Linked DNA regions of Oryzias latipes. The protein of the gene in region 1 purifies or fractionates together with the protein of each later gene. This does not show direct contact. Links are inferred from orthologs where the notes say so. Each region holds a gene or a part of one and is shown in the gene's direction. Other genes may lie near its edges.

Region 1 (2,630 bases):
GCCTCACACTTAATTTAATGCTCACTGCCTGTGTCACGTTGGCATTCTATCTTCTCCAGGGGAGACTGAGTTTTTCCCTTTCTGTGTTCACCAGGTGTGAGTAATGAACTCATGGGATGTTCGCTGCATCAAGAGGTCAAACTTGATTTCATGTGAAATGGATGTAAACATGAGTTATTTGGGCTAAAAAGAATACATTTAAAAATAAAACACATAATTCAACATCAAACAGGAGAATCGTCATTGCTACACATGCATAATCGTGTAGTCACTTGTACTAACAAAGAATTGAGCAAATTAGCCATTTTAATTCTCCGTGTTGCCTAATGTATTGCCAAACAGGGCTTTAGAAAATAACCAGGAAGTAAGCTTTTCATTATTTTGTTTTATTTTCTACATACTAAATATTGTATCCCCAATCAACAAGGACGCACTGTGTAAACAGAAAAGGAAAAAGGGTTTCCAGACAGAGATGCACGACCTGAATGAAACACTTCATTTATCTTCCAAACAGACAAATTGCGTGACGCACCGTGAGACTATATTTGTGCTTGCTATGAGCTCTAGTGTTTACACAGCTCCCCATTTTTCAGTTCTCAAGCATGTCTTGTGTTGACTTTCGATGTCAGTACTTCAGGTTACCAAGTAGCAAGACGTGTAGCCAAGGTCATTCCAAGTCCTAGGTCATGTGTTTATTATGTGCATTGACAAATGGTCTGTGACCTCCATCCATCCATCCATCCATCTTACTCTGCTTTACCGGGACTGGGTCACGGGGGCAGTCTAAGCAAAGATGCCCAGACTTCCCTCGCCCCTGCTACTTCCTCCAGCTCTTCTGGGAGGGACCCCAAGGTGTTCCCAGGCCAGCCGAGAGACGTAGTTTCTCCAGCGTGTCCTGGGTCTTCCCCGGGGCCTCCGCATAGTGGGACATGCCCGCAACACCTCCCCAGAGAGGCGTACAGGAGGCACCCGGACTTGATGCCCGAGCAACCTTGGAATAGGTCTGGGACCTATTCTGAGCAAAATGATGACATGCCACGAGAATTGCAAGGGCTTTATCAGAAAGAAATCAGTCCCAAATCTTTTAGATCTTTTTTCTTGTGTTTGAAATTTATTACAGCAAATTTTTCTTTGTTATTTCTTGTTTTGTGTCAAGACTTTTTAATAGTTTGGGAATCATACCATGACTTATATGACTTACCATCTCAAGGTAATCATTTTTTTCATACTTTTGATAACTAGAGTATTCATTCATTCATTCATTCATTCATTTATTCATTCAATCAATCATTCACTCATTCATCTATAATCATTGTTGTTGTTGTTGTTGTTCAACATCAATTGAACTTTTTTAAAGTTGTGATTTCAGTTGAGATTCTCGGAGTAACCTGTGACGTCATCAGCCTGCGCCAGTTGCAGAAGGAGTAGCAATGGCGGTAGCTCAGGCTAAGCTCGTGAAGGAGACCGAAGACTGCTCTTTGCTGCCCTTAGTTCACGACATTATCAAATGGTAAGCTGTTTCCTGTGTGCTGGGTTTACGTATATGTTGGTATTTACTAAATGGTTCACGGTAAACTCTCGTTGGGGGTATTTACGGTTTGCTATATGAGAAGTGACGTGAACGCTTCCCATCATGGGTGCAGTTTTGCCTTTAATAGAAGTCTGTTATTTATGTATTTATTTATTTATTTATGTTTCTGCTTAGCATGGATAAGGACAGCCCGGATGTCAACCAGGAGCTGACAAAACTAAAAACAAAGATCCAAGAAACCCGGGAGCAGATCTCTAACATGTCTGGGATAGACTGCAGTCCGCCGGAGCAGCAGCAGCAGCTGGCCACGCTGCGGGAGCAGGTCCGCACCAAGAACCAGCTGCTGCAGAAGTACAAGGGACTGTGCATGTTTGATGTGCCTAAGGCGTCGTGAGACAACAGACTACAAACTGGAGACTTGAGCAAAGACGTTTATTTCTACGGTTTACCATTTAAAAAAAAACCTGAAATGAAAAATGGGACTTTTGTTTTTCTTTTTTGTTTGCATCAGTGTGAATGATCTGCTCTGTTTCTGAAGTATCTGTTATTATTTCAAGTTGTAAATCTCTATTTTTAATAAATTAAATCGTGCTATAGTGTTTTACTTGTTTTCATTATTATTATTATTATTATTATTATTAATAATAAATGTATAAGGGCTTTGATGCTTTATTGAGCAGACCATTTAGTCTGAATCTAAAAGGTTTTTAAATAAAGGAAAGCATTTGCCACGGCACACACTTTCACATAACTTTATGTAGTTCCTTTTCACAACATGCAAAGTAAATCTAATTTAATGTGAATCAGCATTTTTCTCTAAACAAAGTTTGATTTTAATCATAAATGATATTGTCTCTAATGGGCCAAATATTACATCTGTTGATATCTACTAAATAGCCTCTAATTATATGTGCTGCACTGCCTCCTAGTCTAATTGTTTTCCTTCTCTGTTATTGTGCCATGGTTATCATTTGTGCAAACAATGGAGTCCTAATGAATAATTATTCAGGCTGTTAGCTCTTTTTATATATAAGTCCATTTAATTTCAGAATGTCTCAATAAATGATGTGTTATAAACATGTATTTTCATTCGAACAGC
Region 2 (3,500 bases), on another chromosome or scaffold:
AGTCTAAAGCTAAACTGAATAGTCTGAAGTGATGTAGAGCAGGTATGATGTCACTTCTCACTTGCAGCCTGCAGTGAGCAGGACTCTGAGCCGGGAGCCAGGCTGACCTGCAGGATTCTGCTGCACCTTTTCAAAACACCACAGCGCAACCCTGTCCCTCAAGACGGGGCCAAGTCAGGTAATGAAGCACTAACACACAGATTTTCACTCACTTCTTATCAGAAATGTCAATTCTTTGGTGTTTTTTTTCTTTCTGTTTGCAGACAAATCCATGGTTGGGATCCGGTCGTCCTGTGATCGCCACCTTCTTGCTGCTTCTCAAAACAGCATCGTCGTTGGAGCGGTGTTTGCTGTCCTCAAAGCTGTGTTCATGCTGGGTATGAATCTCTCACTGCATCGTCAAACAAGGACCGTCTTCATTTCAGTTTGCGTTGAGGCTTAGAGAGTGATGGAGTTATCAGAGAAGCAGGTGGGTTTGGTTGAATCATCTTTTCATTTTTCTGCAGGCGATGCTGAGCTTCGAGGTTCGGGTCTGTCACATCCTGCTGGCCTGGATGACATATCTGACAGGCGCAATGTCTCCATAGAAACAGCCAGCTTGGATGTTTACGCCAAGTATGTTCTGAAGACCATCTGTCAGCAGGTGAGGGATGAAAACCCTGTGAAGTTGAAAGGGAAAAAAATGCAAGTTTTTGGGGGATAAATCAATAGAGAGGCCTTTCACCATTGAAGAATGGAAATTTACAATGACTTTCTCAGCAAAATTGAGCTTTATTGTGATTTTATTTCTAAGGAATGATTCTTTACTCTGGGTTTAACAATCAACCAATTTCCAGTTCCGACTGTAGTTCAGATCAGGCGTGGTTAATTATTTTAACTTGCGGGCCACATTGGGTTGTAAAATCCGATAGAAGGGCCGGACCAGGAGCAGATGCGTGGAGTGAGAATGATTTAACATGGAATGCAGATGAAAACATTTATATTGAAAATTATATTCTAAAACAGAATATTCTAGAGTTTTTAGGTTAAAACTTAATTCTTTTTTATTGTGGAGCCCTTTGGTACCTTCAAGGAGTTGTAAAGTGCTACATGAATAAAGTTTCATTCATTCATGATCCTTTTAAAAAAATAAATACCGGTAACTTTATTTATGAAATAAAACAATGACCAAATAACACTATGATTTTCAAAGACAAAAATTCAGGAAAAATAAACTGATACATTAAAAACAAAACACAAAAAAACACAATAAATAATGGATCCTCTCCCGTCATAATCATAATAAAGGCTTTGAGGGCTGCAGGTCATCACATCTCAGTTTTCGCAGCTGCGTTGTGTTCTGCACGTCTGTTTCTCATCCAGTAATAATGAAAAAGCAAATGCCTATGTCTTCTGCTGCAGCTACGTATATTTCTGCGTTACCTTTTCACCAGAACAGAGTTCCCTGTTTATTGCAGGAGTTACGTTCTAAAAATAACCGCTATCGTTGAAATCCATGGAGGATGATTACAGACGTTTATGCCAGTAAAACTCCTCACTGCCTAAATACACTTTTCTCACACAGACATGAACATTTTCACCATTTTTTCTTGTTTAAATTCTCAAACCTTCATAGAAATTAAGTCCAGGATCTTAAAATGAAAACAAAGATCTGATCAATCACAGATTTCTGTAGATCTGAAGAGCTCCGCGTTTCTGTATAGGAGACACGGAATGGAGGAGATTGATTGACAAGGTCTCCAGCCAATCAGGACACAAAACAGGGTGCGCTGTTTAAAAAAAGCCGCATAATCGCTCTAAAAGAATGAGCTGAACCGGGAAAGATGAACTGCGACGTAGAAAGGAAAGACTGTCTTCTGTTCTAATTGACAGAGATTTTAGAGGGTTTCAGGTTGGAGGACAGACTGCAGAAGGAGGGAAAAAATGTCACGTCTTGATCGTGTGGTCAGATAAAAAAACAAACAAACATGGGTCTCTGACATTGTTCAGTGGGCCGGACCAAACATGGAGGCGGGCCGGATCCAGCCCGCGGGCCGCAGTTTGCCCACCCCTGGTTTAGGGGTAGTTTCTGTTGGTTAAATGTCTCACGGCCCTCTTGTGTCCGTCTGTAGGAATGGGTCGGGGAGCGCTGCCTAAAGTCTCTGTCTGAAGACAGCAGTGCTCTGCAGGACCCGGTTCTGGGGAACATTCAGGCTCAACGGCTGCTGCAGCTGATCTGCTATCCTCACCGGCAGCTGGACAGCGATGAAGGAGAAAACCCCCAGCTGCAGCGAATCAAACGCATCCTTCAGGTACAGGAGAGAGGTGTTTTTCAACCAAACGGTTGGATCGGCTTCATTAAACTTCAGCTGCAACTGTTGCGCTGCCACCTTGTGGATGAATAAGTTACTGAAAACCCTACAAACCTCCATGATAAATACGAAATATGTAAAAAGGATTGTTTCTTTTGTGTAGAATATGGACCAGTGGACGATGAGACAGTCGTGTCTGGAGCTTCAGCTGATGATCAAACAGAGCAGCAACAATGTGATTAACTTTTTTCGTTTTCCAAATACTTTTTCAGCTTTCTATTTTTTGTTATTGTTGAGAAAATGTGTTTGTTTTTCCCCCCCTTTGTCTAGGAGCTGTATTCTCTGCTGGAAAACATAGCTAAAGCCACTATAGAAGTTTTCCAAAAGTCAGCTGAGATGAACTCCAGTAACCCCTCAGGAAATGGAACAGCAGCACACGGAGGCTCTGCATCCAACAGCAACAGCACCACAAGCAAAATTAAACCTATTTTAAGGTGGGGATTCATGAAAACTCATAGGAAATATTGTATGTGTACCTTTTGGGTTTGAATCTTCCCGCAGATTGGTTTCCAAATGCTTGAGTTTACTGATGTCTGATAATGATTGTTGCAGCTCATCGGAGCGGTCAGGCGTTTGGCTAGTGGCTCCACTGATAGCAAAGCTGCCCACCTCAGTTCAGGGTCATGTGCTTAAGGCAGCAGGAGAGGAGCTGGAGAAAGGACAGCACCTCGGCTCGTCCTCACGCAAAGAGAGGGACCGGCAGAAGCAAAAAAGGTGGGGGTCAAACTCTTTATTTTGATGCCAAGCCCAGTTTTTAGTCCTTTGAGAAATCCCCGTCCCTTCTCCCTGCAGTATGTCTCTGCTGAGCCAGCAGCCGTTCCTGTCTCTGGTGCTGACCTGCTTGAAGGGGCAGGATGAACAGAGAGAAGGCCTCCTCACCTCACTTTACAGCCAAGTGCAGCAGATTGTGACCAACTGGAGGGAAGATCAGTATCAGGATGACTGCAAAGCCAAGCAGATGATGCACGAGGCGCTGAAACTACGACTAAACCTGGTAAGCATCCTCCCAAAACAAAACTTTGATTGGGCTAAATCTGCTGTGAAGTTAACCACACGTATCTTCATTTGAAAGGGTTTCAATGGCTCTGACTGTTTTGTCTTTTTTAAGGTCGGCGGCATGTTTGACACGGTGCAGCGTAGCACCCAGCA
Region 3 (4,275 bases), on another chromosome or scaffold:
ATCTCTCTTTGTAATTACACGGTGACGTTCTCTTCTTTTGCTGAGATTTTTTGATCATGGTTCCCTTCAAAATCACCCGAGGAAACATGGTTAGCAGTTGAGAATAACACCACTGGAGACACTGGGTGGTATTGGACGGAGTAACTGAAAGCCTCTGACTGCAGGGGGGAAAAAAAAGGGAGAATGCAAACATTGAAGATGCCGAAGAGTTTCCGGCGTGGGTTAGTTGCATGCAGTAAACCACATCCTTGTGGCAACACTCTGTGCAAGCAATCACACACTGATGTGCACACAAATACACACACGTATCATCACGTATGTTGTGTTAAACTCAATAAAGGTTTTTTTTTTAACATGAACCTTTGATGTACTATTGATCAAATTTTGCATAAAAATGTAAGCTTTTTGTCAGAATTGCTTGGTTGTTAAACAAAAATGTTTTAGAAAACAATTTAAATTTTCATATTAAATCAAAAGCTAAAAACAAAAATAACACTGTTAATCAATACCTAAGAAGCCATAGCTGGGGTTTTTTTTCGGAATTTTTAAATTTTCTTTTTTCTTCATTTAAAAGAAACTCTCCGCTTGTATCAAAATTGTAGTAAAAAAGTACTACTGAAGGAAAACTTAAAAATGAAAAAAATGCAATTTTTAAAAATGTAAAATGCATGATAAGTTATATCCTACAAACACTAAGAATGTCAAGGTTTCATGAATCACTAAATGCAGAAAACAGCAAAAGAGAAAAGTCTGGTTTCTAAGAAAAATGTATCCAAATACAATATGGAACCTTTGATGTACTTTTCATGAGGCTATGTTTTCTTTGGGGTTAGAAAGATTCTTATTTTTCTTTTCAATTTTGGTTCAAATACGATGTTCTTGTTTTGTTTTGCACACTCCGAAGCACAACCTTTGCCCTCTGCTAAATATTCACTAGGCCTATGACAACGTTTATAAAATAAAATGTTACATGTCATTCTTATTTAGTGTCAGGGTCAAGATGAAGTCAGCTTACTTATAATAGTTTGACCATTTTTATTTAAGTGTAAAAAAAAGAAAAAGAATGAATATTAGGTGTTGCTAATTGACTAAGTAGAAAATGAAACATAAAATTCAAAGTTAGACACTTTCACCTGCCCTACTGTATTTAGGGCGTAAAAACAAATGATAGATACATTTTTAAAATTAGAGTCCCCCTCCCCCCCCTTTTTTATGGTTACAGATCTGAACTTTTTTTGCTTGGGTTTGATTTCTTAAGCAGCTTATTTTAAGAACATATTTTAAGATTTATAGGCCTACCAGGATCAGAACCTGAACTCACTATATTAAACAAACAAAAACTAACAAAAAGTTTAAAACAATTAATACAGGAAAGAGATTAGTTTTGAATAAAACCCACTAATTATAAGGTTAATAATGAAATACTTTAAAGGCTTGTCGACGCAACCAATCAACGTCGAGTTTGTTTCCGGGTCACTGTCCAATCCTGGCATCTGAAACTCAACCGGGAAATGAATAAAGCGAAGCTAGTCAGGAGCTAACTGGCTAGAAGAATTTTCATCTAAACTCAACCAATTGAGTCGTTAAACAGGTTTGTACAATAATCAGTTATAAATGTAACCCTTTTATTCGTGTTACAGACCTGTTTCTTTGACTGTAGAGACTGTATTATTCAGCAGATGCAGGAAACGACGTTTGTTGTTAGCCAAACATCAACGGAGCGGTTTTATTAATTAGGTTTTTGTAATAACTTTTACTGTTAGTTAGTATATACGTGGGCTTTTATGTGGTATCTAAATGCACTACGGCGGAATAATTCGAGATTTGTTACGTTAGGTTTGACTTTGACATAGTTCTCAAAATGAATCGTGATGATCATGTGTGTGTCTGTTGTCGACTTGTCCGCCTTCTTACTTAGAAAACAGGTTTAGCTATGTGATGTGTGAACATTATCTGTTGTTGTACTTCTTGTGAGCACGTGTAAAATCCTAAAAAAAACGCGTGGGAAAAAATACTTTTATTGGTTGGAGCGGTTAACGACTCGTTTGGCTACGGTAAACTCTGATCGTGGCAATCTTCAAGTTAAAACATGCACCGACCATATGACATATCCTTCTCTGATTTGAATGTTGTTTTCTTTCCTTCAATAACAATGATACAAAGTGTTGAAAACAGACATCAACAAATATGCATTTTGTAAAAGCTGTGTTTTTTTTAATGTATAGAATGTGCATGTATGCACTTCTCTTTACTAAAATCCACAATTTGACTTGTTTTTGACCCTCATTTGTTCTCTTCTTACATCAGGATGGCTTTTCTTTAAACATTTTTTTAAACTCTGCAGTTTTTTTTTTATTTATTTTTTAATTTTGAATATAAAATCTACTAATTCAGTTGTATTTGCTAAATTGATAGCAGAACAATTATAAGGTTATGTGCACAACAAATAAGCATTTTGAAAAAATGGTGTTAAATCACACAGAAAAAAATCATATTCTTTAACAAGTACAATCTGATAGGGGGGATAGTGATAGATAATATAAATTTAAACATGTTTCAATTGAATAAAAACTGTTTTCTTATAGATAAAGGAATTATAATAATTTGGATTTTTAGTTACCGGTAAGTAGCACAGACAATTTGTTTCAATTAAAAAAACATGAGGATGTAAAGAAGTTTAGGAATCAATCAAAAATCTGTTTAATTGTCCCACAGGTAACTATAATGCAATGGAAGCTGTCACATCTTTATGCCATTTTCCACAGCATTTAGAAATGGCTTTATTGATTAATTATTTTTGGTATTGTAAAACTGATTATGGAAACCTGTATAAGTCTTTTCTCACAATTTTAAAAAAATGTTTCACTTAAAAATTCCTCTACATTTTCTTTAATCTTTTGAAAAATATATTGTAAAACAATGTATTATTGAATAAGTATCTGTAACAGAAACTATAGTAAACCGTGTTAAAATAATTATAACGTTTGTGGATGCATATACAAAACTAGTAATATTAGGCTAAGTGTCAACATTGTACATCTGTTCCTGTGTCTGTTGGTTAATCTGCATTTAATACTTATCTACTCTAACCTAAAAACATGTATATGTTTAAGCTCCACAGATGCATGTTCTTCTTGGTTGTCGCTCTTGCCTCACAGCAAGAAGGCCCCCAGTTCAAGTCCCAGCTGGGGGACCTGAAACAGAATCACCACTGGGGGACCTTTCTCTGTGGCGTTTGCGTGATCCCCTGGTTTTTCTCCAGGGACTCCAGCTCCCTCCCACCGTCCAAAAACAAGCTTCATAAGTTAATTGGTTACTAAATTCTCCCTAGGTGTGAGTGTGCATGGGTGTGTGAACGTGGCTCTGCTACAGACTGGCGAACTGTCCATGATGTCCCCTGCCTTTGCTGAGATAGGCTCCGGCAGCCCCGTGACCCTGAAAGGGACAAAAACGGGTTTAGAAAATGAATAAATAAGGATATTTTTTCTTGAAAGTTATTATTTTGGCACATTAAAAAGGCATAGTTTTGACAAAGTGCTATCATGACTGTGACTTTACTGACTGGAGAAAGCGTTTATGCAAGAGGTAGCTGATGCCATCACCCAGAACATATGAGGGGGTCATTAAAGATTGTTTTACTTCATATAAGTGAGACCCGTGAACTCGCCACAACAGTGGGATCTTATCAGGTGCATGACTGTGTATTTGTTGTTTGGATTCTTTCTAACTTGTAGTTCTATTTATTTTATAATTTTTAGGTCTGCAAAATGGGTGAACCACAGCAGGTCAGCGCACTGCCTCCACCGCCCATGCAGTACATCAAGGAGTATACAGATGAAAACATTCGCAAAGGTCTGGTGCCAAAGCCGCCTCCGCCCATCAGAGACAGCTACATGATGTTTGGCAATCAGTTTCAGTGCGACGACCTTATTATTCGGCCTCTGGAGAGCCAAGGCATCGAGAGGCTGCATCCTATGCAGTTTGACCACAAACGGGAGCTCAAGAAGCTGAACATGTCCATTCTCGTAAACTTTCTGGACCTTTTAGACATCCTTATCAAAAGTCCTGGTAATATTAAACGCGAAGAGAAGATGGAGGACATAAAGCTTTTGTTTGTTCACATGCATCATCTGATCAACGAGTACAGGCCGCACCAAGCCAGGGAGACTCTGAGGGTGATGATGGAGGTGCAGAAGAGGCAGAGGTTGGAGACGGCGGAGAGATTCCAAAAACACCTGGAGAGAGTCGTGGAGATGATCCAAGGGTGTCTTGCTT
Region 4 (3,500 bases), on another chromosome or scaffold:
CCTCTCCTGTCCAGTTCTACAAGGTCAGTTTGGTTACAGCCATTAAAGCTATTACCTGTTCTTCTTCTCAACTTTGTTTGACTGTGTATTCAGGTGGTGGTTAGTGTTGTGAGTGAGAAGTGTCGCATTGACACAGAGCTGTTACCATCCCTGTTTCTGCGCTGCACTACCGATCCAATGAGGAGGGACAAATACCCAGCTGTCACACACCTGAAATTCCTGACCAGAGAGAACTCTGAGCAGGTAATTATCCTCACAACTTCTGGTACCACGAAGCCTGCTGCCGTTTGAGCGCTTGTCTGTGTTCTAGGTTCTGCTGTGTGCATCCAATCAGACTGGCAGCATTGTGGAATGCTGGTCTCTTAGAAAGGAAGGTCTTCCTGTCAACAACATCTTCCAGCACAGATCCCCAGTTGGTCAGAAAAACTTCCAGTCAAGCAGATCTAGACTCTGTTTCTTATCATTTGGATCCTCTGACCTCAGACTTCCTGGTTTCAGTGGGTGAAAAGCAGCCAACCATCCTGAAGTGGCGGATTCTGACAACCACCGGCGACCTAGAGAGAGTGTCTGCTGTTGCTCTTCCCAAACTGCCTATCGCCATATCCAACACTGACCTCAAGGTTGCACCAGACACCAAGTTTTGTCCAGGTCTTGGTGAGTAGAACCCAAAACCACTAGAACCTTACCTTAGCGGTAGAACTCCAGTAAGGCTGCTATAGACCCCTTGCACACCTCCGTGAACACCCTCTCCGTTATTTTGGAAGTCAAATGGTGGGAGTAAGACTAAGACCATTGCTGCTGCAGAGCTTTGTCGTGTTGATCTTTTGTGGTGTCCGCTCTACTGTCTGTCTTTGATCTGTTCCGTCTGTGTTGTTGGCAAGAAAATAAAGAGCTGGAAGGTCTGTTACAGTTCAGAACTGACGGCTGGTGTCTCTTCTTACCCAGCGTACCTAGATATGTATTTCTTTTAAGACAATTCAAATGTGTAACCAACAGTCTACCTGACGCAAAGTGTTCACTGCAGAGTCTGCTGGCATCTGTAGGCCGACAACCTTCCTGTTTGACTGTTTGACAGTGGACCACGAAGAGATTTGGTTGCTATTACTAAAGTTGCTGATTTTACCCGTTGGATGTACCAAAAATAATGAATGGTTGACTTCCAAAATGGCGGACACCTGGTGTCTGCTCGACGTCACTGCAAGGGATCTATAGTGACAATAAATTTGCCCGTTGAACAGTTGAGGGAACTCTATGGCAGAGAGCATTTTCATTGCTTTACTAAACTTTGTCTGTTCTCTTGATTTTCAGGTCTGGCTCTGGCTTTTCATGATGGCAGTATTCAGATCCATCATCGCCTCTCCCTTCATTTCATGGGGATTTACTACAGCTCCTCCTCCTCTGGTCCACGGCCCGGAGACGAAGCAACCTTGAAACGCCAAAGAACTTCAGGTCCTTTCCTCCACTTTAAAGCCTTGCAGTTCTCTTGGACATCATTAGCTTTGGTTGGAATTGACAACTACGGCAAGGTGAGTTCCGTGATGCTAGATTCTGGTGATAGCTTTAGCTATGTTAAGTCTAATTGACATTTTTCTGTTACACACATACACATGCAGTAAGTACTGAAATGTATTCCACAACTGTCCAACAGAGAGCAAGCCTAAGAGCAGTACGGTTAAAAAAAGGATAAAACGTTTAGGTGACTTTGCAGAAAAAACATTTATTACAATTTTGTAGCCTTCTATAGACAACAATGACAGTGTTATGGTCACAAAAGTGGAAAGTGCTCCAAAATGTTCAAAACTTATAGAGTGCCAACATTGTGCAGAGATTGTGTAGAGTTGTGCAGTTTTCTTTTTGACCAATCAGATAGACGCCTTCATGTTGTTGACCAATCGGATAGACAGACACCTTCACGTTGTTCACCAATTAGATGGAGCCATTTTATGTTAGATGCTTGCCTCCGATGTAGACGAGGGTCATTTGGAATGTTTGAGTTGTGTTCAATATTATTTAAATCAAACTGTTGCAGTGAAATGGAATTGATGTGTTTTTGGCTGTTTTGCTATTTCTTCATGTATCGCAAGTTATATCGTCATTGCAATATTGATCATTAATATCGCCTATGGTAAGTATTCCTCTTATTGAGCAGCCCTATCAGGAAGTAAAAGTTGTAGCTGAATTTCTTTGAATTTGTACCGTTGGACTCACTGGGCTGGTGGGAACTATGGGGTCAGGAATCTGTCAATAAGAAACATATTCATAAAGGCAAAGTTGTGCACAATGTGTTGTGAAAAAAATATGAACACAACATTAAGTTTCTCGTGTGACAAGTCTGTCCTGAACACGATTTGCCTTTGCTTTAAATTTGACTGCTTTTCTTGAATACCAAATTTCCCAGGTAACAAACTATCAAGAAGGGTGTATACATCGAATCGAAACATCGATTGTTCAAATTTGTGCATGCGTCTTGAAATGTATTTATTAATCTAAAATAAAATAGAATCTTTTAGAATATAATTGATCCATTACTGAGAAATTATGTTTTAACCATTGCTCTGTTGGGTCCTGGGAATAGACTCGCCCCTTCTCTTCCATGCCCCGACTGGGGGGGGACAGGAATCTCTCCGTCAGCATCCAACAGCAGAGAGGCGGGGATCAGCCGTTTTCTTATTTCATCTCATCATTCTCTTACTATCATCTATTTTTCGATGAACATGGACTTTTATAAGCTTAATCGGCTCTAATCTCCAAGTAACCTGCTGGTTTTTTCCCACCAGTCCTGGGTCCGGTGCATTGTTTATGCAATCAGCTGTTGTCGCATGGTAATAAATAAAATGCGGCAGGACGGAAATGGCTGTTAATAACGTTTTTTTAGTTAACAGAGCAATTGTATTGAGATAATTGCCCTTTCAGGGGATCAATAAGATTCTAAAATGTTCTATTTTATTTTAGTTTAATAAATAAACTTCTAGATGCATGCATAAATTTGAACAGTCAATGTTTTGGGAATCCATGTTAATGCCCCTTTGACCCCGTGACGGATTTTTGACAGTTTGTTAACAGGAGAAATTTCAAATTCAAGACAAGCAAGAGTCTTATCCAAAACCGACATGTCAAACGTAAAACTAAATGTTTTATTCATACTTGTTGTTTTTTTTTGCAAAGTTACGCTCTTATTATGAATTTGTGCACAACTTTGTCTTATGAATATGTTTCTTATTGACCGATTCCTTCACCCATAGCAAAATTCTTTATTTAATCTTCATAGATCGAGTTCTGAGACTGTAGATCCCCAGTAACCAGATAAACAGCAGTATTCTTTTTTTTAAAGCAAACTTCTTTAAAAAAAGATTTTGTAACCGAAGGTCTTTGAAAATAATCTAAAATGTATCAATGGGCATAATGATTAATTACAGTTAATCACATGATGTTATGTAATGAAGCACAATTCGTATTCTTTGTAATTGCTGAGGAATATTTAAAATACTAAAAGTTGCTTA
Region 5 (3,982 bases), on another chromosome or scaffold:
CTGAAGACGGTGGTGGTGGAAACAGGCGATGTGGAAAACTACTTCTAGAGTTTCCGTTTTACACTCATTTCAGAGCAATAAACGAAACTGTGCAGACCTGTTGAATGTGGATGTCCTATTTGAACTTTTCTGGAGTGTCTTTTATTAACTCTTAAGTGTGTATGAACAGCTGGCATGATTCTTCAGGCTAATTTATTTTGTCACGTTGGACATTTGCTCATGCAAACATTATCTGAACTCTGATCCTGAAGTAAAAATAGCAGTTGCATATAGAGTTTACACTGCTAGAAACATTGATCCATCTTCTAAACCACCTTTATTCATGTATATAAAAAAAAAGTATGCTGGGTGTCCTAGAGCCCACCCAGCTACTGAAAGGCAAAGGTGGGATACACCCTGGGCAGTTCACCAGACCACTGCTGGGTCAAATGGTGTTAGGATTCAGTCTAAGAGACACTTTTGAGGTCTTAGGTCAGAGAGCTCTTCTCCAAGGTTGCACCAAACAATCAGGTCTCTGTTTTTATAAGGCTTGTATTTTAGTCTGATGCCTGGACCGGTGAATGTTAATAATAAAGCCGAACTAAATAGATAATGTTGATGACTCATAAACTTGAAAAGAACTGATTTTGTAATGGTTGGCCAAGATTCTGGGACATTTGGAGCTTCCACTAAAGATAACCAGAACAATATACAGCTTGTTACAGAAGACCCATGATCACACACAGAAACAAAAACACTAAACATATCATTTGTTTTTAATAAATACCAGGAAGACTAAATTGTTTCTGCTCTGAGCTTTTATCTCTGTCTCCCTGTAAGCTGCACCTTCTCTGTGCTTCCTTCACAACTGTCTGCAGGACTCATCCTCTGATTCTGCTCTCAGCTCTTCAATTTCACTTTGGTTGCTGCAATTTCTCATTTTTTTTTAGTCAACACCATCGTTGATTCTCTATTTTAAAAAAGTCAGTATAGACTGGATTAATGACTCTGACGGGACAGTTCTAGTACATTATTTTGGCCTGGAACAGAGAATTTGGACGAAAGAAAACAATATTAAAGGGTGCAAAACCCTCAGAAACAAATATTTATTGAACAATAAATAAAAAAAGAAAAGAAAAAAACAAGAGGATGGGTGGTATGGGTACCTGCTGTAGCCACAAGGGAGCACAAACACACCGTCAGATTTGACCAGAGAAGAAGAAGCATCTCTTTTTTTTGGAAAGCGCAAAGCGGAAGTACAACCTAGAAGACTTCCGGGTCGCTGACAGATCAACAATGCAAGTGAGTCTGAAATAATTTCACTCGGTTGTCTGTGATTCTTCTGACCTACTGTGGACGATACTTTGGACTGATGCTAGCTCGGGCGCTGTGTAATCTGTCCGGGCCTCTCTGCTCGTCCTTTTTGTGTTTCAGCAGCGGGAGGAGAAGCAGCTGGAGACGGCGGTGGAGTCTCTCATCTCCCGGGTGGCTCACGTTAAAAACGCCCTGAGCAGCTTCATCTACAAGCTGGAGAATGAGTACGAACGTCTGACATGGTGGGTCCTCCTGCCCTTATGACGTAACGTATCCCCCCTCCTTTGATTATGATAAATAAAAGCCTGGAAACATGCGAAGTTAACAAGTGAGTGCATATCGTGCGTGTGCATGTGTGCGCGAGCGCACTTAGACTATAAATCTTTGTTGATCCCACAAAAGGGGAAATTACCTTGTTGTTGCCATAGCTCCAATAAAACATCAGATATATATTAATAACACTAAAAATACACTTAAACAATTAACAGCAATCATTTTTGTCCAATGTCTATAAGGCATTGCAGAGTCTAATAGCTGACGGGAAGAAAGATCTGGGAAAGTGCTCCTTCCTGCAACAAGGTGTAAAGGAGCTGCTCAGTACACCCATACAAAGGATGATGATGATGATGAAGAAGAGGAGTGTCCATGATGGAGTTCAGTTTCTGTAACATTTTACTCTCACCCACCACAGTTACCGATTCTAGGAGACATCCCAGAACGTAGCCGGATCTCCGCTCCAGTTTGTTGATCCTCTTCTTGTTCCTGTTTGTGCATTCACACCTCCAGCAGCTCAAACCATAGAAGAGGGCAGACGCAACAATGCCATCATTAAAAAGAGTCCTGAAAACTCAGGAGAACCCCAGTCTCCTCAGTATCTCCTGCGATCTGGGATTGCTTCTCCAGCGGCATGTTGTTGTTGCCAAGCAACAACAGCTGACCGTGTAGACGATGTACCCACAGACCGCTTCAGACCCAGAAAGTGGGGGATAAATAGTCCAAAGGACTAGCAGGCACGCCACTGCACTTGTGTAAAAAACAACAATTCTGTCAAAAAACAGAATAATAATTAGAGAAAAAAAAAAACGAAACTAAAGAAAAACAAGCAAGCCAACACAGATCTATGGTAACTGCCAGCTTGTTGTAGCATTGGTGTCTGTATTTGCGTGCGTGTATTTGTACGTGTGCATGCGTCTTTTAGAAAGTGTTTGTGTCTCCATGTTTACCTGCAAAAGTTTTCTCACCCCCCTCTCAAATCTTTCCTGTCCCTCAGGCCATCTGTTTTGGACAACTTTGCTCTCCTCTCGGGTCAGCTGAACACCATCAACAAGCTGCTGAGGAACGAGAAGACCCCAGCTTTCCGGAGTCAGGTCATCATCCCGCTGCTCCTGTCTCCTGACCGGGATGAGGATTTAGCTGTGAGTGTCGCCGCAACATTTGCAGGCTGTCCTGTGTGGTGAAAGACCTCTAACTATCCTGTCCACCCCCACACCCCCCTCAGAAACTCACAGAGCAACGCGTCCCGGTGTTCAGTCACGAGATTGTGCCAGATCACTTGAGGACCAAGCCTGACCCCGAGGTGGAAGAGCAGGAGAAGCAGCTGAGTGCAGAGGCGGTCAGGATTGGTCCTGAGTTGGCTCAGGTCAGGAGGCGCATGGATGTTTGTTATCTGTTGTCTGTGCTCAGAAGGTGTTTAGTGTTTGTCTGTGCTAATCCACAGAAGCATATCCAGGCTCTGAACAAGCTGTGTTCCAACCTTCTGGAGAAGCTGAACAACCCTCGAGAGGACAGAGAGGGAGATGCTTCTGGTGGGTCGCTCGTTTGTGTAAATCCCTTGTTGTCCTTATTGTAGAAAGAGCTGAGTGTGTTTATCTTCCAGCAGTGCGGCAGAACAAAGCGTCCTTCAACCCCACAGACACCAGTGCCTTGGTAGCAGCTGTGGCTTTTGGGAAGGGACTCTCCAAGTGTAGACCTCCTGGCCCTGTGGCCCCTGGCCACCCAGGGCAGGGGCCCATGATGAGCGGAGGTCCAACGTTACAGCAGGTCACTATTGGTGGCGGGTCAAACCAGCAAGCAGGTATGGGAGGGCCTGGGGCCCCCCAGCAGCAAGGTCAGCCAGGTAGGAAACTGTACTGGTAAAATGTATTAAGTTTTTTGTATTGGAGACACATTTTTATTTCTTTATTTTTGTCCAGGAAAAATGCCAAGCAGCATCAAGACAAACATCAAGTCTGCATCGGGTTCCATTCACCCTTACAACCGGTGATCTCCCCCGCCCGCCTCTTTACTGCTCAGATGCAGGAACATCAGTCTGTTACTGGGTCCACCTTCACGTCCCCCTTTGAAGCTCTCTATACAGCCACTAGGTGGCAGCATGGGATCCTTTATGGCTAAATCTTAACAGCACAATGACATGTTTTCAATAAAACCCAGAAAAGCAGCTTGGTTTGTGTGGCCTTTATTATACAAGTGTCTTTCTCTTGTTTCTGCACTGAAACGACGTGAAAAAACCTGAGCTCCGCTCTTCTGAGTCTGTGTTGCAGCGCTGAGCCTGATGGGGGTGGACGTTGTGTCACAACTTTTAAGGGAGAACGCGAGGAACTATTGCTGTTGACAATGGTGGTGGTGGGGGTTTTATTCCTGTCTGAGTGTTGGCCCTCTGTCTGCTCTGATCCTGTCTGGCTGTATGACC
Region 6 (4,221 bases), on another chromosome or scaffold:
CAACAAACCACGACAGGAAATAAGAAACTTCACGATTTATCAGTCATTGTGTTTGTTTTGAACTGTTCTTCTGAGCTGTCTTGGTATTTAGACTCATATAAAAACCTAAATGGAATTTAGCAATGTGTTCTTAAATGGCAAAACATACAAAATGTGAAGGTAAATGTAAAAAAAATAAAAAAGTAAGGCAGAGGTTTTTTACGTCATACAAAAAAAAACATCTAAAATGTTGACACTGTGATATGTTTATCAGCTGGTGCCAGTGAACAGACGGAGTGAAGGATGCTGGCGCTGCTCCAGCGTTTGTGACTATAGTCTGTTCTGTTCCGGACTGTTCGGAACCATCCAGAACTCGCTGGCTAACAAATATAAGAGGTTTATGAGCTTATGGAGAAATCTCCTTACGAGGTGTTAAGCAGAACGATGACAAAAACACAACAATAACAGGAGACATGCCTACGTATGCATAGACATGTAATAATACATGTACTCCAATGGAAACGCATGCACTGTGCTAGGCTATGCAATCAGGTTATAGAGAAGAAATACTTTACCGTGGTGGACAAAACAAAGTACAGTACCATCGCCAGCAGTGCTCCGCTGCTCGCTATAGCCCCAACTGTCAACATAACAATTAATGGCCTCATTTTTGACAGCGACTTAAATAAAAATAATAATAAAAAGGCCCCAGTTATCGGAAAAAATCTATTTTGTTCATTGTAAGCGCACGTGACTCATTTCCACCCAGTGTTGTGAAACTCAAGTGGGTGGAGTCAAATGCTTGACAAGACAAGGAGGAAATGACGTATGAGGTTTTTCAAAACAAAAATAAAAATAAAATATAGGTCAAAACGTTCAAAAAAAGGGGGGGGGGTAGGAGATAGAGGTGCACGATATGAGGAAACTCGCGTTCTGCGATATCAATGATCAATATTGCGATGACGATATAACTAGCGATACATGAACAAATAGCAAAACAGCCAAAAGACAGTTTCTATTTCACTGCAACAGTTTAATTTAAAGAAGAGTCAAGATGACGTACTTAAATTATACTCAATGACCCTCGTCTACATTCTAAGATTTTATCTATTTTTATAGATAAAATGTGTCATAATTAAAACATAGAAGGTGATATATTTATTTATTATTAGCAAAATATACTAAGCTTTTTTAAAACCTAAATTCAGTCAGTAAAAAATAAATTTAGAAAGAGATTTTTAATTCTGAAGCAAATTTTTATTTTAATTTATTTTTTTTACCATAAGTAAATTGTCTTCAGATTTACATTTCCAATTAGCCGAAGTTAAAAAAAAATACCGAATAATTAAGAACATTTTATGAAGACTTAATAAATTCGCTCTGAAGATAATAACCTGGAGGACTTTTCTTTAAGAACAGTTTTTTTAAACGTCAACTCGATCAAACGCAATGCATTGTGGTATATAATATTGGCCAAGCCAGGAACCATCGATGCCATCGGATTTTTAGAAGAATATTAGTGATTTAAAAATACGAAAAGGAGAATAAATTGAGAAAGGATGGACGATGAAGAGGAAACTTACCGGCTGTGGAAGATCCGTAAAACAATAATGCAGGTGGATTAAATAAAAGGATATACTAGCTTAGCAGCGAACTAGCTGTTAGCTTCACATGTGGCTCGCGTTAAAGAGTCGCTTTTGACTGCCATTGTTAAAGTTGTAACTAAATCTTTTACGTTTTGTGTGTTAATCTCTTATTCTCAGTGCAAGTCGTTCCAATTACGCGCTCAGACTTTTTTTTTTAATTATTATGTGTAGGAATGATGCATTCGTTAGCCTCGTTTGAACGAAGGCTAACTTTAGCACACCCATGATGACCCATTAAAAAAAGCCAACATGTTTTCGTACATGTAGACTACATGTATGACAACATGAATGCTTCAAATCATTAAATACACTTTCACAAAGTTTGCTGCTAAACTGCTTTTAGATTTTTGTTTCTGTGATGTACTGAAATATAGTTATCAGCTCTTTATTACGTTTAGGCTTTTTTTAATCGACAATAATTATATGACATTTATGCAGAGAGTCAGGTTTTGCAGTGTTGGACTTCCTTTGTCAGCACCCCTGCAATTCGACTGGGCATGCTGTCAATCAACTTTAGGGCCAAATCCTGACCGATAGCAACCCAGATTGATTAAGATCTGGGGAGTTTCCAGGCCGTGGACCCAAAATGTCAACATTTTGGTCCCCGATCCACTTAGTTATCACTTTTGCCTCATGGCACGGTGCGCCATCGTGCTGGAAAATACATTGTTTGACGCCAAACTGTTGTTGGATTGCTGGAAGAAGTTGCTGTTGGAGGGAGTTTTGGCACCATTCTTTATTCATGGCTGTGGTTTTGGAGAAAAATGCGAATGAGCCCACTTCCTTGGATGAGAAGCAACCCCACACATCAAGGGTCTCAGGATGCTTTACTGTTGGCACGACACGGGACAGGTGGTAGCTCTCACCTTTTCTTCTCCGGACAAGCCTTTGTCCAGATGCCCCAAACAATCGGATAGAGGCTTCATGGGAGAATAGGACTTTGCCCCAGTCCCCAGCAGTCCACTCGCCATACTTTTTGCAGAAGATCAATCTGTCCCTGATGTTTGTTTTTGGGGTGGATAAGTGGCCATCTTCTAAAAGTCTCCGCCTCACTGTGCATGCAAATGCGCTCACACCAGCCTGTTGCCATTCCTGAGCAAACTCTGCACTGGTGGCGCTCCGATCCCACAGTTAAAACCCATTAGGAGACGATTCTTGGCACTTGCTGGACTTTCTTGGACGCTCTGAAACCTTGTTAACAAGAATTGAACCTCTTTCCTTGAAGTTTTTGATGATCCTATAAATTGTTGATTTAGGTGCAATCTTAGCTGCCACAATATCCTCGCCTGTGAAGCCATTCTTATGCAACGCGATGATGGCTGCACACGTTTCTTTGCCGGTCAGCATGGTTAACAGTGGCAGAACAATGATTTCAAGCATCACCCTCCTTTTAACATGTCAAGTCTGCCATTCTAACCCAACCGGCCTGACATCATGATCTCCAGTCTTGTGCTCGTCAACATTCTCAACTGAGTTAAAAAGACGATGACTGAAATGATTTTTGGGGGGGGGATTCATTTAATTTTCATGGCAAAGAAGGACTACGCAATTCATCTGATGACTCTTTGTAACATTTTGGAGAACATGCAAATTGCTATTATAAAATCCTAGGCAGCAACTTTTGCAATTTCCAATATTTATGTAATTCTCAAAACCTTTGGCCAACACTATACATATTAAAATGTTGTTTGTTTTTTTTAACCACAGCTCTGCCACGATCGAGGCTATCTGGTAACACAAGATGAGTTGGACCAGACCCTGGAGGAGTTCAAGAGTCAATTCGGAGACAAACCCAGCGAGGGTCGTCCCAGACGGACGGACCTTACAGTCTTGGTCGCACACAACGATGATCCCACTGATCAAATGTTTGTTTTCTTTCCTGGTAGGTTTATACTTGAGAATAATTTGGGAACTCATCCTTTTATCCATAAAATAACCAAAAGTTTAAGTTACACTCCAATCATATTTCGATTTATTTTTAAAGGAGTCCCCAGTGGTATTATATTTATGAATGCTCTGTTTTTAGCCAAATTCATAAAAACCTGTGTGGGCATCACTGTTGGCACGGACGTAAGCCCCTGCTGATATCCCATCATCCCTTTTTTGTTTACACACTCTCCCATTAGATTACATTGACTTTATTAGAGAATTGAGCCATGGTGACGTCGCCTTTCTTCCGGCTCCAGAGAAATGAAGCCAATAGACCCTTTTCATGGTGACGTCAGACAAAACAGAGACATGGGCGCCATTGTGTCACCGTACTTCTGGTTTTAGACGAGCAAAGCTGACAACTGAACGCTGTTTAACACCATTCTATGAGAAGAATACACACTAACCTTACCAATCGCAACGGCACTTTTTACATGATTTATTTTATAAATGTCATATCCAACTGTAGTCAATTTCCTCTTTTAAATCTTTCACAAGTCAAAATACAAATTTAAGTAATCCATCAATATTTAAGGTTCAGTTGAAAATATCAACCTTTCATTTGAGTCTAACAGGTTATATTTTTTTACAGTTTCCTATTCTTTTTATCATTTTTCTTTTTCGCAGATCAGACACAGTTATTGGCAATAGCAAAGAGGTTCAGTGT
Region 7 (3,957 bases), on another chromosome or scaffold:
TTTGCAGGTGGAAGAAGAACCCTCCATTGTTTATTCCTTAATTGCCTTTAGAACCCCTGCAAAGACCAATGGCCGTGAATTAGCCCACAATGAAACCATTTACAGTGAAATAAAATTCACAAAAAGCAGTTTGGATAGGTTGAGCAGGTAATTGTTGCGATATTTTAGCAGTTCTGAAGTTGCCTTAACATGGATTCTGTTTTGTGAGTTGAAGTAAACTTCACCCTACAAGGTCCAAAATGGAAACCCTTAGAAGGGTTTTTTCCATTGTGTCAGAAAATGAATAACTGCTTGCTAATTATCTTTATGAAATATAGCATTGCTTTGTGTCTGTACCTGATACTGTCAGCAAGTGCTTTGAAAACAGAAAACAAGTTCCTTTAAATTATTCTGAACCATTATTTTTTCTGACACAAATTTTGTTAAATATTTTTTCTTTAAAGGCTTCGGAATCCGTCAAAACACAGTTTTTATATCTTTATTATTTTATGTGTAAAATATGCATCTGATGGAATGTTTGTCATTTACTTTAAAAGGTTAAGCACAAATCTTAAAAAAGTTTGTGAACCTCAATCAGCCAAAAACTATAGCAGCATGTCTGAATTTTAAATGTTTTATTCAATGTTTTAAAAAGAAAATATTTAACAAAAACTAATTGTAAAAATATTGTAATTGTTGTGAAGACAGCATCTGAGTTTTAAAAAAAAGGCCCACAGAGCTAGGCTTTTATTTTTTTATGTGCCAGCAATTACTATTACAACATTTTCGGTATGAAATCTACATATATATTTTTATTATTTTTAAATATGTGCAAGGTTTTCAAATACATTTAGTTACTTATCTGCACTGATAATAGTTTCAATTTTTAGAGCACGTTTTGGTTTGTGAGTGTTTTTGTAAATCAAATGACTTGAAGTTGATTTTTAAAAAAATGTTATTTATGGATTGTATTTTTAAAGTAACCCCTGTTTGGGTTACTGTAATTGATCCTTTTTCTACATTGCTAAAATTTAAGTTCAATAAGTGTATTCAACGTGTACTTATTGTTTTATCATTTGCCTAAATACCTGTTTGCGCGGAAAAAGCTAACACAGAAAGTTGCTTCCATGAATGGTTATATTCCGGGGTTTCAGTAGGTGGCAGTAACGAGCTTTAAACTGGATTGAAAGCGCCTTTTAAAAACAAAAGCCAAGGAAGAACTTGGGCGCCTTTGTTTTCTGATTAGCATCAAATTTTGGTTGTTTTTAGAACGGGTTACAATATATATTTCATTAACACTTTTTTTATTTTTTAAGTTAAGTACGAATGCCTTAAATTACTTTGTTGATGACAGTAACAGCTCAAATCGTGAGTTGGTAATTCCATGTAGGCTAACTGTTAACTGGTACTAGCAGCCGTGTGGATATTAGCTAACCGGTGAAACAGGGGGCCCACCGTGGAAACCAACCACAAACAGCAAAAATATCTTAACTTTAGTCAGTTCTAACGCTGCGCCGAACTCTTTATTCTGCTCAGGTAAACCATCTTACTCTGTAGTGAGAAACGTCTACTGCTTTTGCTAGTTAGCATAAGCCTGCTATTGGTAGTTGTATTTGTTCGCTAATTTAGCTAACAACTGTTTTCTGTTTACTCATTCATTCATTGGTAATGTCACTCACATGTATCATCAAACAACTGCAAATGAAATAGAGTAGTCCAACAACACTTTGCAAAAAGTAGCCTATTTAGTTTACTACATGTATAATTGGCTAGTGGGACGATATACTTGAAGTAAACTTTTAAACACAATCTAGTATTGCTAAATTCAAAACATAAAATGTTCCAATTTAGTCTGAAGAAGTTTTCAGTCAGTTAATACTTCTTTCACAATATACACATGGTCTATCGTACACTTGTACTTATTCTCACGTGTCCTCAATGAAATAAACTTCAAGTGTAGTACTTTTTGCTAAGTGAATGACAATGCCATCATTCACTATTACTTTAAATCAGGAAGAAGATGGAAGCTCCTCCTGTCACAGTTATGCCCGTCACCGGCGGTGCCATCAACATGATGGAATATCTGTTACAAGGTGAGACGATTCAGATATAGAAGGTTCAACCAGAGATATAGAGGCTTGATATATTTACAGATAAAACGGTGTATTTTTCCAGAATACATATATTAGAAGCCAGTATGAAGTTCACTGGCTAAATTATTTGAAAAATAATGTTTACATCTTCATTCTGTTGCTAAAACCAACTTCTATCCATTAATATTAGTCTTTAAAAAAAAACTATTAAGTTGAGCTAATTATTTTTCCATCATGAGTGTTGGTGTAGCATTAAAGAGCAAACCACACTGTCAAGAGTGTGGAAAGAGTGCTCAGTTACTTTCTGTCTTGAAAATAATATATATTTCTAAGGTTTTCCTGTCCTGTTTGTGCTGCACTTTACTGGACACATTTGTATTTAGTAAACTGAAGTATTTAAGATTATATAGATGCATAAAGATTTATGGAAAAATAATCCTCAAGTCAGGAAAGCTTTTTTTAAATTTTTTTATTCATGAAACCTGTTATTCATGTTTTCATCACATCTGAAGTGTTTATTGAAACTGTGTTTGTAAAAAAAAGAGATCTAAAACGAACACTAATTTTAACATTGAACATTTTTTAATTTCATGATGGAGGATTATATGTTTAATATTCATTTTTAAAAAGTTGTATCACAGCAGGAAATAATTATAGTGGGAGTAAAGAACTTACTATATGAGTCTTTAAAGGATATTCTATTTTCTCGTTTTTTTCAGGCAGTGTTTTGGATCAGGCTCTGGAAAGCCTCCTGCATCGCCTGCGTGGTCTCTGTGACAACATGGAACCAGAGACTTTCACCGACCACGAGCTGGTTTACCTTTTGAAAGGCCAGCAAGGCAACCCCTTCATTCTGCGTGCCAGACGCTCCCTCTCCCACCCTACTTCTCCATGGCACCTGCGGTATCTAGGCCAGCCAGAAGTGGGAGACAAGAGCCGCCATGCTCTGGTTCGCAACTGTGTCGATGTAGCTGCCTCTCAAAGCCTTCCGGAGTTCCTCAATGAGATGGGCTTTCGCATGGACCATGAGTTTGTGGCCAGTGGTCACATATTTCGCAAAGGAGCAATGAAAGTTGTGGTTAGCAAGGTTTCACGCATCCTAGTACCAGGGAACACGGAAAATACAGAGCGAATGTCGCTGTCGTATTTAGTGGAACTGAGCATTTTGGCTCCGGCCGGACAGGACACCGTGTCAGAAGACATGCGCAGCTTTGCCGAGCAGCTCAAACCTCTGATTCATCTGGAGAAGATTGACCCAAGCAAGCAGAGACATTAAGCATTAATGGAAAAAAATGTTTTTGTTATTGTTTTCCTTTCCATTTAAATGCTTTTTAATGTGATGAAATACAGATTTACTTTGCTTAAACTGTTACAGTTGTGGTTAATCTGACCTGTCAGAGTATTTTTTTAATTTATTTTTTACTTTTTGTGCCTACTATAAAGAAAATATTATAGTAACAAATAGCTGGAAAATACTTAAATATATTTTAAGTTGACAAACATTTTGCAATGCCTCAGATGGCTTATGTTATTGCTTTAAAAATTTTTTTTTAAATCTTCAATTTCATTTTTTTATATAATAAATGTCCACCAGGGGTCTCTCTTTCCACAAGGATGGTCTTAATTGGAGCAAAGTGAACGCTACCTCTCATCATCTACAGGAGCTCTGGTTGCCATGGAAATAATTAGCTGTGCGATCTGCACATCGTTTACCCCACTCTAATTAGCTTTCTCAATTGCTTAATGATACATAGACCTGTGAAAGCCTTTCTTTCTTCCTTTCCACAAAAGCATTGATTTTCCCTCTCTTCCCCTTTCATTTCTACTGTTAACCCATTAGTATCCTTTCTTTTTTTCATGGGAACTTGAGCTGGGACTATTACAA

The links.
Region 2: the proteins of med9 (region 1) and med12 purify together in Homo sapiens (affinity purification with mass spectrometry; 6 studies listed by BioGRID and IntAct, with this or other methods). This does not show direct contact. The link is inferred for Oryzias latipes from reciprocal best matches to the Homo sapiens genes MED9 and MED12.
Region 3: the proteins of med9 (region 1) and med7 purify together in Homo sapiens (affinity purification with mass spectrometry; 5 studies listed by BioGRID and IntAct, counting the BioPlex papers as one, with this or other methods). This does not show direct contact. The link is inferred for Oryzias latipes from reciprocal best matches to the Homo sapiens genes MED9 and MED7.
Region 4: the proteins of med9 (region 1) and med16 purify together in Homo sapiens (affinity purification with mass spectrometry; 5 studies listed by BioGRID and IntAct, with this or other methods). This does not show direct contact. The link is inferred for Oryzias latipes from reciprocal best matches to the Homo sapiens genes MED9 and MED16.
Region 5: the proteins of med9 (region 1) and med8 purify together in Homo sapiens (affinity purification with mass spectrometry; 5 studies listed by BioGRID and IntAct, with this or other methods). This does not show direct contact. The link is inferred for Oryzias latipes from reciprocal best matches to the Homo sapiens genes MED9 and MED8.
Region 6: the proteins of med9 (region 1) and polr2e purify together in Homo sapiens (affinity purification with mass spectrometry; 4 studies listed by BioGRID and IntAct, with this or other methods). This does not show direct contact. The link is inferred for Oryzias latipes from reciprocal best matches to the Homo sapiens genes MED9 and POLR2E.
Region 7: the proteins of med9 (region 1) and med18 purify together in Homo sapiens (affinity purification with mass spectrometry; 6 studies listed by BioGRID and IntAct, counting the BioPlex papers as one, with this or other methods). This does not show direct contact. The link is inferred for Oryzias latipes from reciprocal best matches to the Homo sapiens genes MED9 and MED18.

Annotation. Positions count from the first base shown.
Region 1 is NC_019866.2:10,874,976-10,877,605, forward strand, and holds med9 (mediator of RNA polymerase II transcription subunit 9), read left to right. Parts: upstream 1-1,378; 5' UTR 1,379-1,430; coding exon 1,431-1,510; intron 1,511-1,705; coding exon 1,706-1,925; 3' UTR 1,926-2,130; downstream 2,131-2,630.
Region 2 is NC_019868.2:8,263,262-8,266,761, forward strand, and holds part of med12 (mediator of RNA polymerase II transcription subunit 12), read left to right. Parts: intron 1-67; coding exon 68-178; intron 179-263; coding exon 264-377; intron 378-506; coding exon 507-643; intron 644-2,111; coding exon 2,112-2,291; intron 2,292-2,454; coding exon 2,455-2,526; intron 2,527-2,621; coding exon 2,622-2,785; intron 2,786-2,903; coding exon 2,904-3,065; intron 3,066-3,143; coding exon 3,144-3,345; intron 3,346-3,459; coding exon 3,460-3,500. UniProt on the Homo sapiens protein: Component of the Mediator complex, a coactivator involved in the regulated transcription of nearly all RNA polymerase II-dependent genes.
Region 3 is NC_019868.2:21,185,906-21,190,180, reverse strand, and holds the start of med7 (mediator of RNA polymerase II transcription subunit 7), read left to right. Parts: upstream 1-1,475; 5' UTR 1,476-1,591; intron 1,592-3,758; 5' UTR 3,759-3,767; coding exon 3,768-4,275. Other genes in the region: itk (tyrosine-protein kinase ITK/TSK), read right to left, coding at 1-88. UniProt on the Homo sapiens protein: Component of the Mediator complex, a coactivator involved in the regulated transcription of nearly all RNA polymerase II-dependent genes.
Region 4 is NC_019862.2:1,609,767-1,613,266, forward strand, and holds part of med16 (mediator of RNA polymerase II transcription subunit 16), read left to right. Parts: coding exon 1-23; intron 24-93; coding exon 94-243; intron 244-310; coding exon 311-416; intron 417-498; coding exon 499-654; intron 655-1,308; coding exon 1,309-1,526; intron 1,527-3,500. UniProt on the Homo sapiens protein: Component of the Mediator complex, a coactivator involved in the regulated transcription of nearly all RNA polymerase II-dependent genes.
Region 5 is NC_019862.2:24,741,087-24,745,068, forward strand, and holds med8 (mediator of RNA polymerase II transcription subunit 8), read left to right. Parts: upstream 1-1,182; 5' UTR 1,183-1,275; coding exon 1,276-1,281; intron 1,282-1,413; coding exon 1,414-1,535; intron 1,536-2,563; coding exon 2,564-2,708; intron 2,709-2,791; coding exon 2,792-2,932; intron 2,933-3,010; coding exon 3,011-3,098; intron 3,099-3,169; coding exon 3,170-3,409; intron 3,410-3,485; coding exon 3,486-3,556; 3' UTR 3,557-3,730; downstream 3,731-3,982. UniProt on the Homo sapiens protein: Component of the Mediator complex, a coactivator involved in the regulated transcription of nearly all RNA polymerase II-dependent genes.
Region 6 is NC_019862.2:26,974,570-26,978,790, forward strand, and holds the start of polr2e (DNA-directed RNA polymerases I, II, and III subunit RPABC1), read left to right. Parts: upstream 1-1,421; 5' UTR 1,422-1,538; coding exon 1,539-1,595; intron 1,596-3,332; coding exon 3,333-3,507; intron 3,508-4,221. UniProt on the Homo sapiens protein: DNA-dependent RNA polymerase catalyzes the transcription of DNA into RNA using the four ribonucleoside triphosphates as substrates.
Region 7 is NC_019874.2:22,764,196-22,768,152, reverse strand, and holds med18 (mediator of RNA polymerase II transcription subunit 18), read left to right. Parts: upstream 1-1,158; 5' UTR 1,159-1,515; intron 1,516-1,992; 5' UTR 1,993-1,999; coding exon 2,000-2,072; intron 2,073-2,791; coding exon 2,792-3,348; 3' UTR 3,349-3,457; downstream 3,458-3,957. UniProt on the Homo sapiens protein: Component of the Mediator complex, a coactivator involved in the regulated transcription of nearly all RNA polymerase II-dependent genes.